Linked DNA regions of Rhinolophus ferrumequinum. The protein of the gene in region 2 interacts with the protein of the main gene of each other region in a pairwise test. Links are inferred from orthologs where the notes say so. Each region holds a gene or a part of one and is shown on either strand. Other genes may lie near its edges.

The links. The genes of interacting proteins can lie anywhere in the genome.
Region 1: the proteins of RFESD (region 2) and HBQ1 interact in binary tests that used the Homo sapiens proteins (3 or more experiments, as listed by UniProt). The two-hybrid records come from large-scale screens. The link is inferred for Rhinolophus ferrumequinum from reciprocal best matches to the Homo sapiens genes RFESD and HBQ1.

What each region holds. Positions count from the first base shown.
Region 1 is NW_022680357.1:2,231,508-2,237,946, reverse strand, and holds HBQ1 (hemoglobin subunit theta-1), read right to left. Parts: upstream 2,494-6,439; 5' UTR 2,205-2,493; coding exon 2,110-2,204; intron 2,003-2,109; coding exon 1,798-2,002; intron 1,677-1,797; coding exon 1,548-1,676; 3' UTR 504-1,547; downstream 1-503. Other genes in the region: hemoglobin subunit alpha, read right to left, coding at 4,190-4,318, 4,459-4,663, 4,914-5,008.
Region 2 is NC_046290.1:63,520,082-63,527,929, forward strand, and holds the start of RFESD (Rieske domain-containing protein), read left to right. Parts: upstream 1-4,839; 5' UTR 4,840-4,965; intron 4,966-7,479; 5' UTR 7,480-7,572; coding exon 7,573-7,661; intron 7,662-7,848.

The DNA of each region.
Region 1 (6,439 bases), on a different chromosome or scaffold from region 2:
GATTTTTATTCATTATTTTTTATATTTTTATTTTTTAGGGAGGGTGCAGCTCACAGCAGCCATACAGGGATCAAACTGGCAACCTTGGTGTTATTAGCACCTGCTGTAACCAACTGAGCTAACCGGCCACCCTCTGCCACCCCCTTCTTTTTTTTTTTTACGAGGGCACAGCTCACAGCAGCCCAAGGGTTGACTTGATTTTTAAAAGAAAAAGGTAGATGGGCTGAGAAAAAAGAATTTGGAGGTCTATGATAACCCTTTCTTTGCTGTTTATGGCAATTATTTTTCTCCCAGTTTCTCTTTTAAATTTGCTTTTTTTTCTCTCCACGTACCAAGTATCTCTTTATAGAGAGTCCTGTGTATCTTTTTCCAGTGTCACTTTGAGGATACCATTTCGTAAGAAAAATATTTCCAGATGTGCCTAGAAGGACCTGAAAGCCTGGCTGTACGTTAAACATGACCTTGTGACACGTCTGAGTGGGGCTGTTTCTGCCGGGGTGTGTGTGTGTGTGTCACACGTTTGCTCTTGGATCTCCCATATCTATGCTCCATTTGTTCACACATTTGTTCCCACGTGTCAAGTGGGAATTGAAGGAATAATGGAGCCACTGAAATACACAAGAAGGTATAGTAAATCGGGTAGTCACTGCATTTTCTGAAGTCTCCACAGTGACCATGATTGAGTTTATGAGGAAAATTTTTAAAAAGAAAGCAGCTCTGAGGTCTGTCTCCTTGGAAGTATGGGTGTAGGCAGGGCTCTGGGCTGGCTCCCTGGTCCACTTTGCTCTGTGACTGGGCAGGACCCACCTCCTTCCACCAGGTCCAGAGTCTGGCAAACGCGCGCTTCCCCTCAGTCTTCCCTGATCCCTAAAATCCCCAATACCCTTCCCTTCTAGAGCCGCGGTGTCGGGTTGTGCGGGTTGGGCTCTGCGCAGGTCTGATCGAGGCCGGCAGGGGGCGCCGCTCCCCCATTTTCTCAGAGGCTGCGCCCTGCATGCCGCCTTCGGTTTTAGGTGGGTGAAGGACCAGGTCCCGCGTACCTGCATCTGAGAGGAGTCGACCCAAGCAAGCAGCCCTGGGGAGGGCCCTGGCCTTGCCAGCGGGGGCAAGCGCATGACCCCTACCTGGTACCCCACTCCGGAGGGGCGGAAGCTGCGGGTCTGCGCCTCCAAGTGGCCGCCGTCAAGGGCACGGTGGATCGGAGTTACGACGTAGCATTTGGGACCCACTGCGTAACTCGCCTCGGCCGCCCGGGTTGGGGACGACCAGAATCTTCACTCGGCTGCCCAGGGCGTCCGATGAACGCGAGCCAGGGGCGCGCCGGGATCTGGCCCTGGCGGAAAGTGCGGCTCAGGCCTCTCCAGATCCCCACCCTCCCCTTCGGTGGGGCAGGACCTCTACCCCCAGGCCCTGTCAGGCCCCGGGGCGCGCCCTCCCAGGGAACACACGCATTCCACAGGCTCAGGTTTCTTTCGGGGACTTTACTCAAACACTGGAACGTGGCGGGAAGGGGCGGCTGAGGGGTCCTGCGACCACCCATCCTCAGTTTAGTGATAGCTGGAGGCCAGCGCCAAAACCACGTCGCTCAGAAACTTGTCCAGCGAGGCCTGCAGGGTGGGGCTGAAATCTCCAGGGAAGTGCCGGGCGAGGGTCACCTGCAGGCAGTGGGTCAGCAGCTGCGGAGGGAGGAGGAGGTCGTTTCCACCCGTGGTCCGTCTGCCCCTCCCCCACACCCTTCCCTGGTGGGAACTACCCCCTCCGCCGGCGAGCGGGTCCACAGCCGGCCCGCGCGCTCACCTTGAAGTTGACCGGGTCCACTCGCAGCTTATGCGCGTGCAGGTCGCTCAGAGCCGACAGGGCTCGGGGCAAGTCGTCCATGTGGTCCACGGCCAGAGTCAGTGCGTCGGCGACCTTCTTGCCGTGGGCTTTGACCTGCGCGGAGCCGGGGCTCAGGTCCAGGTGGAAGAAGTAAGTCTTGGTGGAGGGGAAGGCCAGGAAGGTCCTGCGGAAGGAACCGAGACTGAGGTGCGGCGCCCCAGGGGTGGGGACGCATCTCCGCGGCGGGCGGGAAGGCAGGTGAGCCCGGAGAAAGCCGAGGTCTGTCCGCACCTCTCCAGGGCCTCGGTCGCGTACACGCCGACGTTGTTACCCAGTTTCTTCCACAGCGCGCGCACTGTCGCCTTGTCTGCAGCCGACAGCACCATCGTGGAGCCCGGGGCCAGCCGCGCACGCTCAGCGTGCTACGCCCGAGCCAATCGGCCGCGGGTCTCTGCGGCCACCGGGGGCGCCACGCCGCGGAGTCTGGTTCCTTTGGGGTCCGGGAATGTCCAACCTGGACCTGCGTCTGTCTGCTCTGGCCTGGACCTTCGCGATCGCCCTGGACCCCCAACCTCCCATTTTTGTAGTGGTTACTATATGGAAACTAGTATTTAACTTGTACATATTATTAGGTAGTACTGAATTTTAGCATGGATTTTGGCATGGCACATCAGTTTATTCTATCCCCCTCCGGAGTCTGTTCTGACACCTCTCTGAGTATTTTCTCATTTATTGGATAAAATAAATATAATTTCTTCGCAAGGTTGATGTGCGGATTAAATGCCAAGTGCCTCGCTCATAGCGGATGTCCCGTTCAGGGCAAGGAACCTTTACTGGGTGCCTAGGATGTATCCTAATAATAACAGCGAATACCTATGTGGCACTCATTCCCTGCCGGGCACCAACCTACACCTTTATTGTTGTTATTGTGGTAAAATTTGCCATCTCAGCCATTTTAAAGTGTACAATTCACTGTCTTTAATTATATTCACAGTGTTATGCAACCATTAGGAGTATCCAGTTCCAGAACTTTTTCATCATCCCACATAGAAACCCTGTATCTATTAGCAGTCACTCTCTAATCCCTCTTCTCCAGCCCCTGGCAACCACCAATCTGTGGATTTGCCTGTTCTGGACATTTCGTATAAATAGAATCATGCAATATATGATCTTTTGTGTCTGGCTTCTTTCACTTAGCACATTTTCCAGGTTTAACCATTTTGTATCATGTGTCAATACTCCAGCGCTTTTTATGGCCCAATGACATTCCATTGTCTGGATGGGCCACATTTTCTTTGCCATTCATCAGTTTCGGGACATGTGGATTGTTTCCACTTTTAGCCCAGGCCCTCATTTTTCCTAATAATAAAATAAAGATGATTACCTCTTACTAAGATCTGAGACTGTGCCACCAGCTGTGCTAAAAGCATCACAAACGGAGGCAGGAGACTTGCTATGTCATTTTCCAAAGACCCCTGGGGCCCAGGGAAGAAAGGACACTGCTCTCAGTTGGAGGCTTGGGGCTGGACTGCAGCCAGAACTGGACACCAGGAGCCCTCACTCTGAAGCCGCCTATTCTGTGGGGAGGAAACTCATTGGAGTGCAGGCTTCCTGGTCCTGGTCCTGTTCTCGCTGTGACACTGGAGGCATCAGTGGACCTCAGAGGTGCCAGCCTGTGGGCGGTGCAGTGGATGCCAAGCTGCGCCCCAGAATGGGCCTCCAGAACTGCGATGCTCCCAGGATGTCAATGTCTGCAGGGTGAGCATCCTGAGGTGGCCTCAGGTGAAAGGGGTGCCAGGACCGAATTTCATCGCGTGTGTATTTGGGAGGCACTTGATGGAGAAGGGAGCACTCAGTGTGACTCTGAAGGAGTGGAACCCCGTGTCCTCCCCACCATCCAACTCGAAGAGGAGCCCTGGAAGAGCTCAGAGGTCCTAGGCTGGAGGCCTGCTAACTCTCAGAGCAAGTGTGTGCCCGGTGAAATGTAAAGACGGCACATGAACGCATTATTTGAGCAAACTAGTGTTGACTAGCAAAGGCTGGGAAATGAAATAGAGGAGGAGTCGGAATGTATGCAGCAAAGCCCTCCGTGGTGAGAGCAGAGGGCTGCCCAGCGAACCCCAGGCAGTGGCAGCGGGACTGGCTCCACTCCCTTTGTACCCATGTATGCCCTTCCCTCTCTTCGCTGACTGCGAAGAGGCCCTCGGTGCGAGGCACGCAGAGCCACCCCCACCCCGGCAAGTTCGCGGACACAGAGAACCCAGGCCACACAGGCTGCAGTCCACTCAGACTTTATTCAAAGATCAGGAATTGCGGGTGCGCAGAGCGCAGAGGGGCCCTGAGTCGGGGCAGGGATGAACGCGGCTCCAGCTTAACGGTACTTGGAGGTCAGCACGGTGCTCACGGAGGCCAGGAACTTGTCCAGGGAGGCGTGGATAGCAGGGGTGAACTCGCCGGGGTTGTGGCAGGCCAGAGTCACCAGCAGGCAGTGGCTCAGGAGCTGCGGAGAGAGGCGGTGTCAGGGGGCGTCGGGGCGCGGCCGCCCGCGCTCCCCCGCCTGCACCCCGCGGGGTTGTCTGCGCGCCTGGAGGGCGCGCTGAGCCCTCCGCGCGGATCTCTGGCGGCCCGGCCCGCGCTCACCTTGAAGTTGACGGGGTCCACACGCAGCTTGTGGGCGTGCAGGTCGCTCAGAGCGGACAGGGCGCCGGCCAGGTCGTCAATGCTGCCCACGGCTTTGGTCAGAGCGTCGCCCACCTTCTTGCCGTGGCCCTTAATCTGGGCGGAGCCGTGGGACAGGTCGAAGTGGGGGAAGTAGGTCTTGGTGGTGGGGAAGCTCAGGAACATCCTGCGGGGGTGGAGGAAGAGTGTGAGCGGGGGTGGGCGTGGGGGTCGGGGTGGGGTCCAGGGCAGGGTCCTGAGCCTGGCATTCGGATGAGGGCGCTGGCGCGCCTCTTCGGGCAGGTCCGCAGTCTGGACCCTGAGGTCTTGGGGACGTGGGCGCCAGCTGGGTCGGAGCCCACCGAGGAGCTGCTGGCAGGCCCGCGACCAGGCGGCCGTCGAGCCCCGCGGGCACAGCAGGGAAGGGAGGTCCTCACCTCTCCAGGGCCTCAGCGCCATACTCGCCAGCATTGCCGCCGACCTTATCCCAGGCGGCCTTGACGTTGCTTTTGTCGCTGGGGGAAAGCACCATGGTGGATTCTTCCTGAGTCTGTGTTAGGACCAGAAGGGTGGGGGCCGGGGAGTGCGCGGAGCCTTTATGCCTGAGGCCGGAGGGGCACGCCCGCCCCGGCCGCGCTCATTGGTTGGCACGGAGCCGGGGGTGCTGGGCTTGACCCCGACTGAAGGGGGCGCCCGGCGCCGTGTCTGCCTCTGGCTGGAGCGGTGGGGGCGTCGCTCCCAGGTCGCGGAGGCACCGGGTGTCTGCGGGTCTGGATATTTCTTTCTCCCAACGACCGCTTCTCGCCCGGTGCCTCCACCTCCCCCGGGAGTGATATTCTCGCCCCCTCGCTGGTGGGGGGGCGGTTTGTAGAGGTGGGTCGATGCTGGTGGCTCTTCCACCACTTGAACTCAATGACACCCTTTTAGGGTCCCTGAGCTTCCTTAGCCACAGGCTGGGCTCTCCTGGGAATCTACCCTGGACCTAGGCTTGGTACACGCTTGACGTGTTTTAATTTGGGTAGAAAAAGTGAGTGAATGGACAACGGAGGGCAGGAAGGAAGAAGGCCTCACCTAGTCCGGGGTTAGAGATAGGAGGTCCTCGCTCACGTATTCTCAAGAATTCCTGTTTGGAATCCCTCCTGTTCCCCTTCAGTCTTGGTTCTTCCAGCCCCCTTTTCTTCCACCAATAATCATGGAGTGTCATTGAGTGCCAGGGTCTCGGGAGTACAATGCACACTCAGGCTTCTTCCAGAGTTCGGGTCCTGCAACCCCATCTCGGGAACTCACCGGGGTCCCTCTCCTGTGTGATTGATTGTCTGAATGACTGTCTCTCCCCCCCACTGAGCAAGTGGTCCTGGGTCACAATGACAGTCCATCCCCCAAATTATGCCTGACACAACACTCACTAGGTAAGTAGGGGTTGCATTGATCAATAAAGCAACTGCTGAACCAGAGCTGAGATTTCAGCCTAGTTAGGGACAGAGTTATCAAAGCTTCATACAAGTACTTATATTCTCAACCCTCATTAGGGGCCCCAAGGAAGAATGAAGGAAGTAGATGAGGCATTCCAGGATATCAGGGTTAGTCTGAAGATCACCGGTGGGGTTCCCTGAGGAGGTGAAACTGGAGGATGAATAAGTATTAGGTGGAGTAGGGTGGAGGGGGAGCCGCCCAGTCGGCTTGCAGAGGGGCACAGGGAGAGGAGGCCTCTGTGGCTGCAGAATGAATGTGGGGAGATGGGGTGATGTGTCTGGCTAGACCCTGCAGGAGTGGGGGAAGGGATGGGCTTCCGGTGAAACAGTGAGAAGGGGCCGCAATTCCTGCTGATGCCGCCCCCTTACTGGTGACAAGTGATGGTCCCTTGGTCTAGTGGTGGGAGAGGGGTACTGACTAGGTTAAACATCCTAACTGGGGGGAGGAGAAAGGGAGTGAGAAGTCGTTGATATGCCCTTCTCTGGGAGCC
Region 2 (7,848 bases):
ATGCAGCCGAGGATAAATGCAAGTCCCAGTGTGATGGGAGCAGGGGAGGGAGAGGGAGAGAGGCTGTCTTTAAAAAAAATATATATAAAATAATAAATTTAAAATTAGGTATGAAAGTGAATATTTATTTAGAGTTGGCAAATGACTACAAAAAAAATAAATATTTTAAAAACTTACATAATAAACATTCATTAATTGCCATTCATTCGTTACTTTGCAACCCTTTTCACCTAGTTTTCGTCTAACTACTCTTTAGTCCTCCTTTCATCTGATAACAATTTGATGATAATATTTTATATAAAGAGAATAGAAAGATAATTCAATCTTTCCTATAGTATAATTATTTTTTAATTGACAAGAAGTATAAAAAAACTGTTTGTAGTACTAATACAGGTTTGTATGTTTATAGACAAAGGAATTTGATAAATTCTCTTCCATATGATTCCCATCAAGAAAGACATAGGGTACAGTTATAGTTTACGTGCGGTATTACTGAGCATGTCTCATGTGTATAAAAGATGACCATGTGAATACATTACTAAGGTCCTTCAGGACCTTGGAAAGGGCCCATGTATGTGAGGGGACTTAAAGCTTCAGTTTAATGAACTTCACTATCTCTAATTTCAGCAAATATTATTCTACCCAGTACTGTCTGAAAGGCCAATGTACCAAAAGACATTGTTCCTGTAATTCAGTCCTTGCCTTAGCTACGCCTGCTTCCCAAGGTCTCTTTGGCCTCCCTACCTCTGCTGAGACCCAATGTAGTAGAACGAATATGTTCTGAATGTTGGTCCAGGTCAAGCAGCAGCTGTCTGCCCCGTGAGGCCCACATCACCTAAGCGCCTCTAGGCTGTGTCTTTGCAGGCCCCACACACCACTGTGCATATTTGCTAAGCCTGGCTTGGTATTGATACCAGGGTTTTTGCTTGGGCCTCCGTACAGATTACTTGGTGTTCACTGACCCCACTCCCCAATCAATCTCCACTTATAGCCAGTGTGTATCATTTGCTTAACGCCCAAGACCTGGAGTTCTACCTGGAAGATAAAGTCAGGAGTGAGCAAGAAATCTTAACATTTACTATTAAAATCTCCAATCTTTACTCCCGCCCTCCGTCTTTTTTTTTTTTTTTGGATGCTCTGCTCAGCCTCTTCCTTCTCCTTTCATCTGTGTGCCTGCAGAGAGGGTACAATCTGGTCCATCCTCCCAAGATGACAGCTCTAAAGGTAGCAGTGGGGATAGATACATTTAATCAGGAGACTGTTAGCAAGCTCATTTGGCTGCACATTTAAGCCACTCCAATCTAGATTTTTATTATTAAATAAAGATTATACTGTGATCGCTTCCTGCTTGGTTCCAAACTCAGGCAGGAAGGAAAGGTGTTGTTTATTGGGCCCTCTCAAAGTCCAACACAAATAAAAGATGATGGCACCTTCCAGATTGGTGACAACATATAAATAAAGAAGCAGAGAAATTTGAAATACACTTGAGAAAGTAAAATTGATATGCCTCAGTGCTGGATTAGACATGGTGGGGATACCATGGGGGTCCCTAAGACCACATCATGTCTGGGGGTTCACTGGAACTCATAGAACTCTTGATATAGTTCTTCTGATGTTAAGATTACTACAGTGATATAAAGCTACACAGCTAGATCATATGGAAAAAGGACATAGGTGGAATATGGAAGAATCCACGTGAAGGCTTCCTATCCTCTCACCCTCTCAGGAGGAGCCACATAGAGCTCATTCTTCCTCCAGCAATAAACTATGTGCAATATTTCCACCCAAGGAAGCCTATTAGATACTCAGCACCTAAGGTTTTTATTGAGGGGTGGTCACCTAGTCACCTCTGCCTAAGATGTTCCAGACTCCCAGAAGAAAAGGAGGTTGTGGTCACATAAGCCATATTGTTTGTACAAACAATATAGTCACCCCTATTATTTAGGGGAAGTCTTTTTACAGTGTAGGGAAGTGTTTACTAGCCAGTTCCCAGAAGCCAGCCAAGGGCCAACCTTGTAAGCAGAGCTTTTTAAGGATAACAATCTCAGGTCAGCTATGTTGTCTTTTCTGCACAGGAAGAGTGAGGAAAAGGGAGATGTAAGTATGACATCCAGGTTTCCACCTTAAGCACGTATATGTCACTTATGGAGATGGAGGAGACAAAGGAAGTATAGGCTTAGGGGAGAAAATTATTCCAGTTTTGAATACATAGAATTGGAGATAGCTATGTATGAGATATCCAGTTAAATATACTGTGTTGCAATCATAAACCTTAAAATTTAAGTGGCTTAATACAACAAAAGTTTATTTCTCACTTAAGTTACATGTCTTTTATGGCTTGGTGGAAGTCGTTGTGTTGGGGGAGGGGGTGGGTGGTCTGTTCCACACAGTCACTCAGGGACCAAGGTTAGTGCAGGCTCCACCATCTAGAATATCAACTGTGACAGAAAAAGAGATGACTGGAGAGGTCTCATACCAGCTCTTCTATGCTTCAGTCTAGGAGTGAAACACTGCATTTTCACCCACAGCCCATTAGCCAAAACTAGTAACATAGCCTCAACCAACTGTAGGTGGGGCTGGGAAATGTGGGATAGTAGATGGGATGTTTGGTGAACACCACTGTTTCTACCACAGTATCCAGGTAAGAATATCAGGTAGGTAGCCCAAACAAATGAATGTTGTGGAGACTCACTAGGAGTCATAAGCAAATAGGTAGTATTTAAAACCACCCTCAGTTTCTCATGATCTGAACCCCAATGTCCTAAGAAGGACAATGGTGTCACCCTTTCTGGTTTGAAGAAATAGGAAATCCTATTTTGTGGATATTCTTCAAACCTCCCCGTAGTGAAACTTGTAACACACACACGGATGTTTTCACTAGTTCACAAGACAAGACTTTGGCTTAGGATTGAAGGCAGTTTTTGAACCTCTCGGAAAGGAAGGACTTGGTCCCAGAAAAGCCTGCCTAGAAACATCCTGATGCTCAGAGCAGAGGAGCAGGGATCACCAAGGTGAGAAGGGACATTTGAAACTATATATACTGAAGGGCAAGATCAGAGAGGAAAAGCTAGTGTTTTCAGTGGTAGGTAACAAAACTCACGCCAGAGCTACCACTAGGTGTCACTAGTAGGAAATAAAAGGATGAAAGGAGGAAGCAAGTACCCCCAATGGTCTATCAGGTACAACTTTGTGGGAGCTGTGCCCACACTGGCTGGAATTGTGGTATTGCAAAAAAAAAAAAAAAAAAAATGAGGGTAGGAGTAATGAATTTTTTTCTGAACCATAATGACTTTCAAATGCACTTTATGGGTTCCTGCTTTTGACTCAGGTGCATGCCTGGGCCTGGTGCTTTTGTGTGTCTCAGAAGTGGAGAAAGGTAGTTTATTCTGCCTCCCACCACAGCTTTCCAAACATTTTATACTTTTACATGACTAACCACATCAATACTTTAGATGGAGATAAAAAGAACGTTACCATTTCTCTTTCTTCTTGTGTATATATGTGTGCATATCTACTGAGATCTTCAGTTTATTCAAAATCAGATTTAAGGTCTGTGGATCTAAGATATGTCTTATTTTAATGCCTAGTTTATGCCAAAGCAAAAAATAAGAACTTTTCATTGAAATGGCAAACCTTATTTAGTCCTTTAATGATACAAACTAAGAACTGCTAGCATCCTCCATGTGCCAATAAAATAACTTGGGATTGTGAACAGATAACGTGAATTACAAATCCAAATATATATTATTATTACTTTGGCAAAGCGATTCTTCAAAACTAGATGATTAATTTGTGCTTGGATCAAAAGGGAAATTATCCCATAAAATATGATTATCACCCTAAAACTATTCTAAACAAAACAGAAATCAGAAGAAACTGGCATTGGAGGCAAATCCACTATTCTGGGCTTCTCAATCTTTTACATGTTTTGGCTCATAGAAAAAATGGCACCCTAGGGTAAATGGACAAGGTTCCTGGGTTTCAGCTGCCCCAGGCCCAACAGGCCACTCAAGGATATGAGATCAGTACGTCAGGATATTAAATATACATTGTAGTTTTCAACCTTGAGATCACACTGGAATTACTTGGAAAGTTACAAAAAATCTCTCCACCTCCACCCCCACCCAAGATTTTTACTTCATCGGTCTGGACATCAGGACTTTTTAATACCCTCAGGTGACTGACTCTAAGGCATAGCCAGAGTTAAGAACCACTGCATCAGAAGACAGTCAAGGAAATTTAAAAAAAAAAAAGTCTATCAGACTCATCTATTAATAGCTTCCCGTTTTGAACACAAGTGTGAGGCTTTCTTTCTAAAAAAAAATTGAGGGAAGTATAAAGAGAAAAAACAAAAGTTTGCAAAATTCAAAATATGAAAGCGAAAATCCTTCATCACTAGTCCAAGCAACTACTGTTTTTTTAAGAAAAAGATTATTCACATACCTTTATATTTGTATCTTGAGAAGTAATTTTTTACACTAAAGAGAGCACACACTACACATATTCTATAGTTACAAGTAATCCACATGTCTATGCTGTACTTCATGTAACCCTTCCTCTGTTGATCACTTTAGCTATTCTCATTCTTTCTTGCAATAAACCTCTTTATACGTAGATTACATGCATTGTGAGCAACTTTTGCAATTTTTATACGGTAAATTCTTAGAAGTGAGACCGCTTGGTGGATTTAAAATATGGATAAACGTGAGATCAACAAACATTTACGAATAGATGCCACCTACAATCATTCATCACCCCTAAGACTCGCTCCCAGCCGAGCGCGTTCGCTCAGAGGCGGCTGTCAGGTGCGGCCCCCCGGGGCGGACGCTCTGGGGTCACGTGGGCGGCTTCGCCCCGCCTCCCGGAGCTTCGGCGTGGCGGCGGCAGCGGTGGCTCACGCAGTAGCACCACGCGGGGTTCGCAGCGGGCCGCACTCACCGAGGCGGAGCGAGGGACTCGGGAAAGGTAAGCTCTGTTCTCGCCGCGGGGTTGGGCGGCCGGGCGCGGGGCGGGGCTGGCGAGGCCGCTGCTTCCGGCCGGGCGGCGGGCCTGGGCTCAGACTTCCGGCGCTGGCGGCAGCTGCGGCTGCAGCCTACAGCTGCTGAGGGTGGCCGTCCTATGGCCTTTGCCCTCGGCCCATCGGAGCACCGCGGCCCTCGCGGGCCTTGGTCCCGCGTCTTAGCCGTTAATGCCCGGGGCAGGCTTCCGCCCAGTCACAGGGAGGCCCTCTGAGCGTGTTCATCTTAGAGTCTGGGCCGCACCCCCGACCTGCCGCCTCGGTGTGGCAGGCGGGCCCGTTCTAACCAGCTTTCCTGGCATTTGCGAGCTCTGATGCATAAAAACTGCTTCAGGGTCTTTACAGCCCTAGGTATTCGTCTTCTGAAGGGTGCAGGTGTAACGCGCCACGTCTGAACAGCCCCGCTCATTCGATCTCTGGTTATTGAGCACCCCCGATCCAACAGCTGCAGACCGGCTTGACTAAAATGTGAAACCCAGTTTGAAGTCGTGCCCATAAACTGTCAGAGCTGGAAGGGCCTTAGCGAAGACAGCTAACATGATTGTGCGTTTCCCACGGAAAAGCCCTTCTCTAAACAGCCGACCTATAGTGAAGCCGTAATGCTTCACAGCCTGAAGTAGCAGGCCTTTCCTGCTGCAGCACAGCAAAGTACAGACACTTGCCCCAAAGCGCCCAGAGACGGCTCAAACCCAGGTGACTTCACCTGGTGATCACAGATCTCTAACATCACAGACAATGGTAGTAGATTCCAGAAGGGCTATGGGACTTCATTAAATTTCTGGGGAAATAGCCCGTTTTAAATTTTTTGACATGACACTTGAACATTAGCGTTCCTAAATTTAAAAAAATTGAGGACCATCATCTTTGGGGACATATATGGTGAGATACACACATACACATAACACAACATCTTTACTTTGCTCAAAGGTTCGGTACCGTCAAGATAGTTTACTTGCAGGCCATGCATTTTTATAAATCCATGGATGCTACTTAGATAAAATGTTACGTTTTATATACCAATGTTCACAAATTTAGACTCATAGATCTGGGTTGGAATCTTGACTGCTACTTTGTGAGTTTGTGCAAGCTTTTGTTAAAAAGGGTCCTTTATCCCTAGTTTCTTCATGTGGAAAATAGGTATATTACCCCTTGGGGTTTTGTGAAGAGTAATGAACTCATGCAGAGAGTCCAAGCAGTTGGCACTCACTGAAAATAGCTAGTTTTATCTACTATCATTATGCCATCCAAAGAAAAGCTACAAAACCACTGTGTTTCCCCGAAAATAAGACCTAGCCGGTCCATTAGCTCTAATATGTCTTTTGAGCAAAAAATTAATATAAGACCTGGTCTTATTTTAATATAAGACCTGATATAATATAATATAATATAATATAATATAATATAATATAATATAATATAATATAAATAATACAATGCAATACAATATAATACCGGGTCTTATATTAATTTTTCCTCCAATAGATGCATTAGAGCTGATGGTCTGGCTAGGTCTTATTTTCGGGGAAACACAGTAAGGCATTTCTCTTCTCTGAACCCAAAAGCAACGGTAATACCCTGGAGCTATGCATTCTGATAATAAGTAGGCCAAGTCACCAGACTTAGTAAAAGCACCTTAGTCAGTGCTCAAGAGGAATAGCAAGTAAGTTCCTTTAATTTCATGTCTCTTTTGTCTCCAGTGTCTTAGGGAAACTTAATTATGTTCTTTTAAAAATTCAACCTGAATGGATTTCCTATGCTGGAAAGGTATCTAATAGACACTGAGGATCCATTTAGCTAATTTGTAATTTTATGGGGTGTTAACACCTTTAAAAACCCAATTTTAGGCACAGGCCAAAATATATTTCTTGAAGAGAGCTGTGAACAAGTTCTAAATTTTTCAGAAGTTTTCTCCGTCTAGCCCACAAACTGGTTAAGCTGTTTAATTTTTCACTTTCTTTTTATTCAGTTAAGATTCTACTATCTTAAAGTGAATTGAAAATAGAGGAAGTATCAGGGAGCGTATGAATAGCACATCAAAACAGTAATTAAGGGGAACACATTGACTCTTATTGTTGTCTGAATGGACCATGATATTGACAATATTTAATTAAGAAGTTATAGTTACCATATATAAATAAATAGAATCATTTATGATGTATAGAAGGAACAAGTATTTGAAGGATGAGATAATACTTTCCTACGCAAAATGAAAGACTGTAATTATAGTTCTCTGAAACATTTATCATTTAGCCCCAGCTTTCTCTGCTCATTTCTTATCAGCCCCTGTACAGTTTTCCTTGGTTGAAGGCAAACCCTGCAAAGACTATGTTCTAAGAGACTGAAACGTTGAGGGAGGAATTTGTTTGGTTCTCATTTATTTGGGAGTCAGGGAGAACTTTAACTTTTGACGCTATTCCACATCTCATGTATTTTGTTGCTTGATACTAGTATTTATTTTCTAGTTTTTGCCTGGAAAAAGAAAAGAGAACTACACATTTCCTCCTGTAGTGCCAAGTTTTGAAATAAGCAGTACAGAATTCTCAAGTAGTCCATTCATGATCTATGCACAGGCATATTCTCTGAAGATAGTGCCATTTGACCCTCTTTTTCTTGGATTTTGGATCATTTGCTACATAATGACAAGGTAGGATACAACTTAAATATTGAAAAAGTAATTTTAAATGTATGACTAAATGTAATACTTTGAGACATTTAATAAATTTTGTGTTTCTATCCCTTTGCTTTTCTTTATAAATTTACTCTATATACATGTATCCATGAATAATATATTGTTTGGTTTTGCCTGTTTTTTCACTTGATAAAAATGGAAG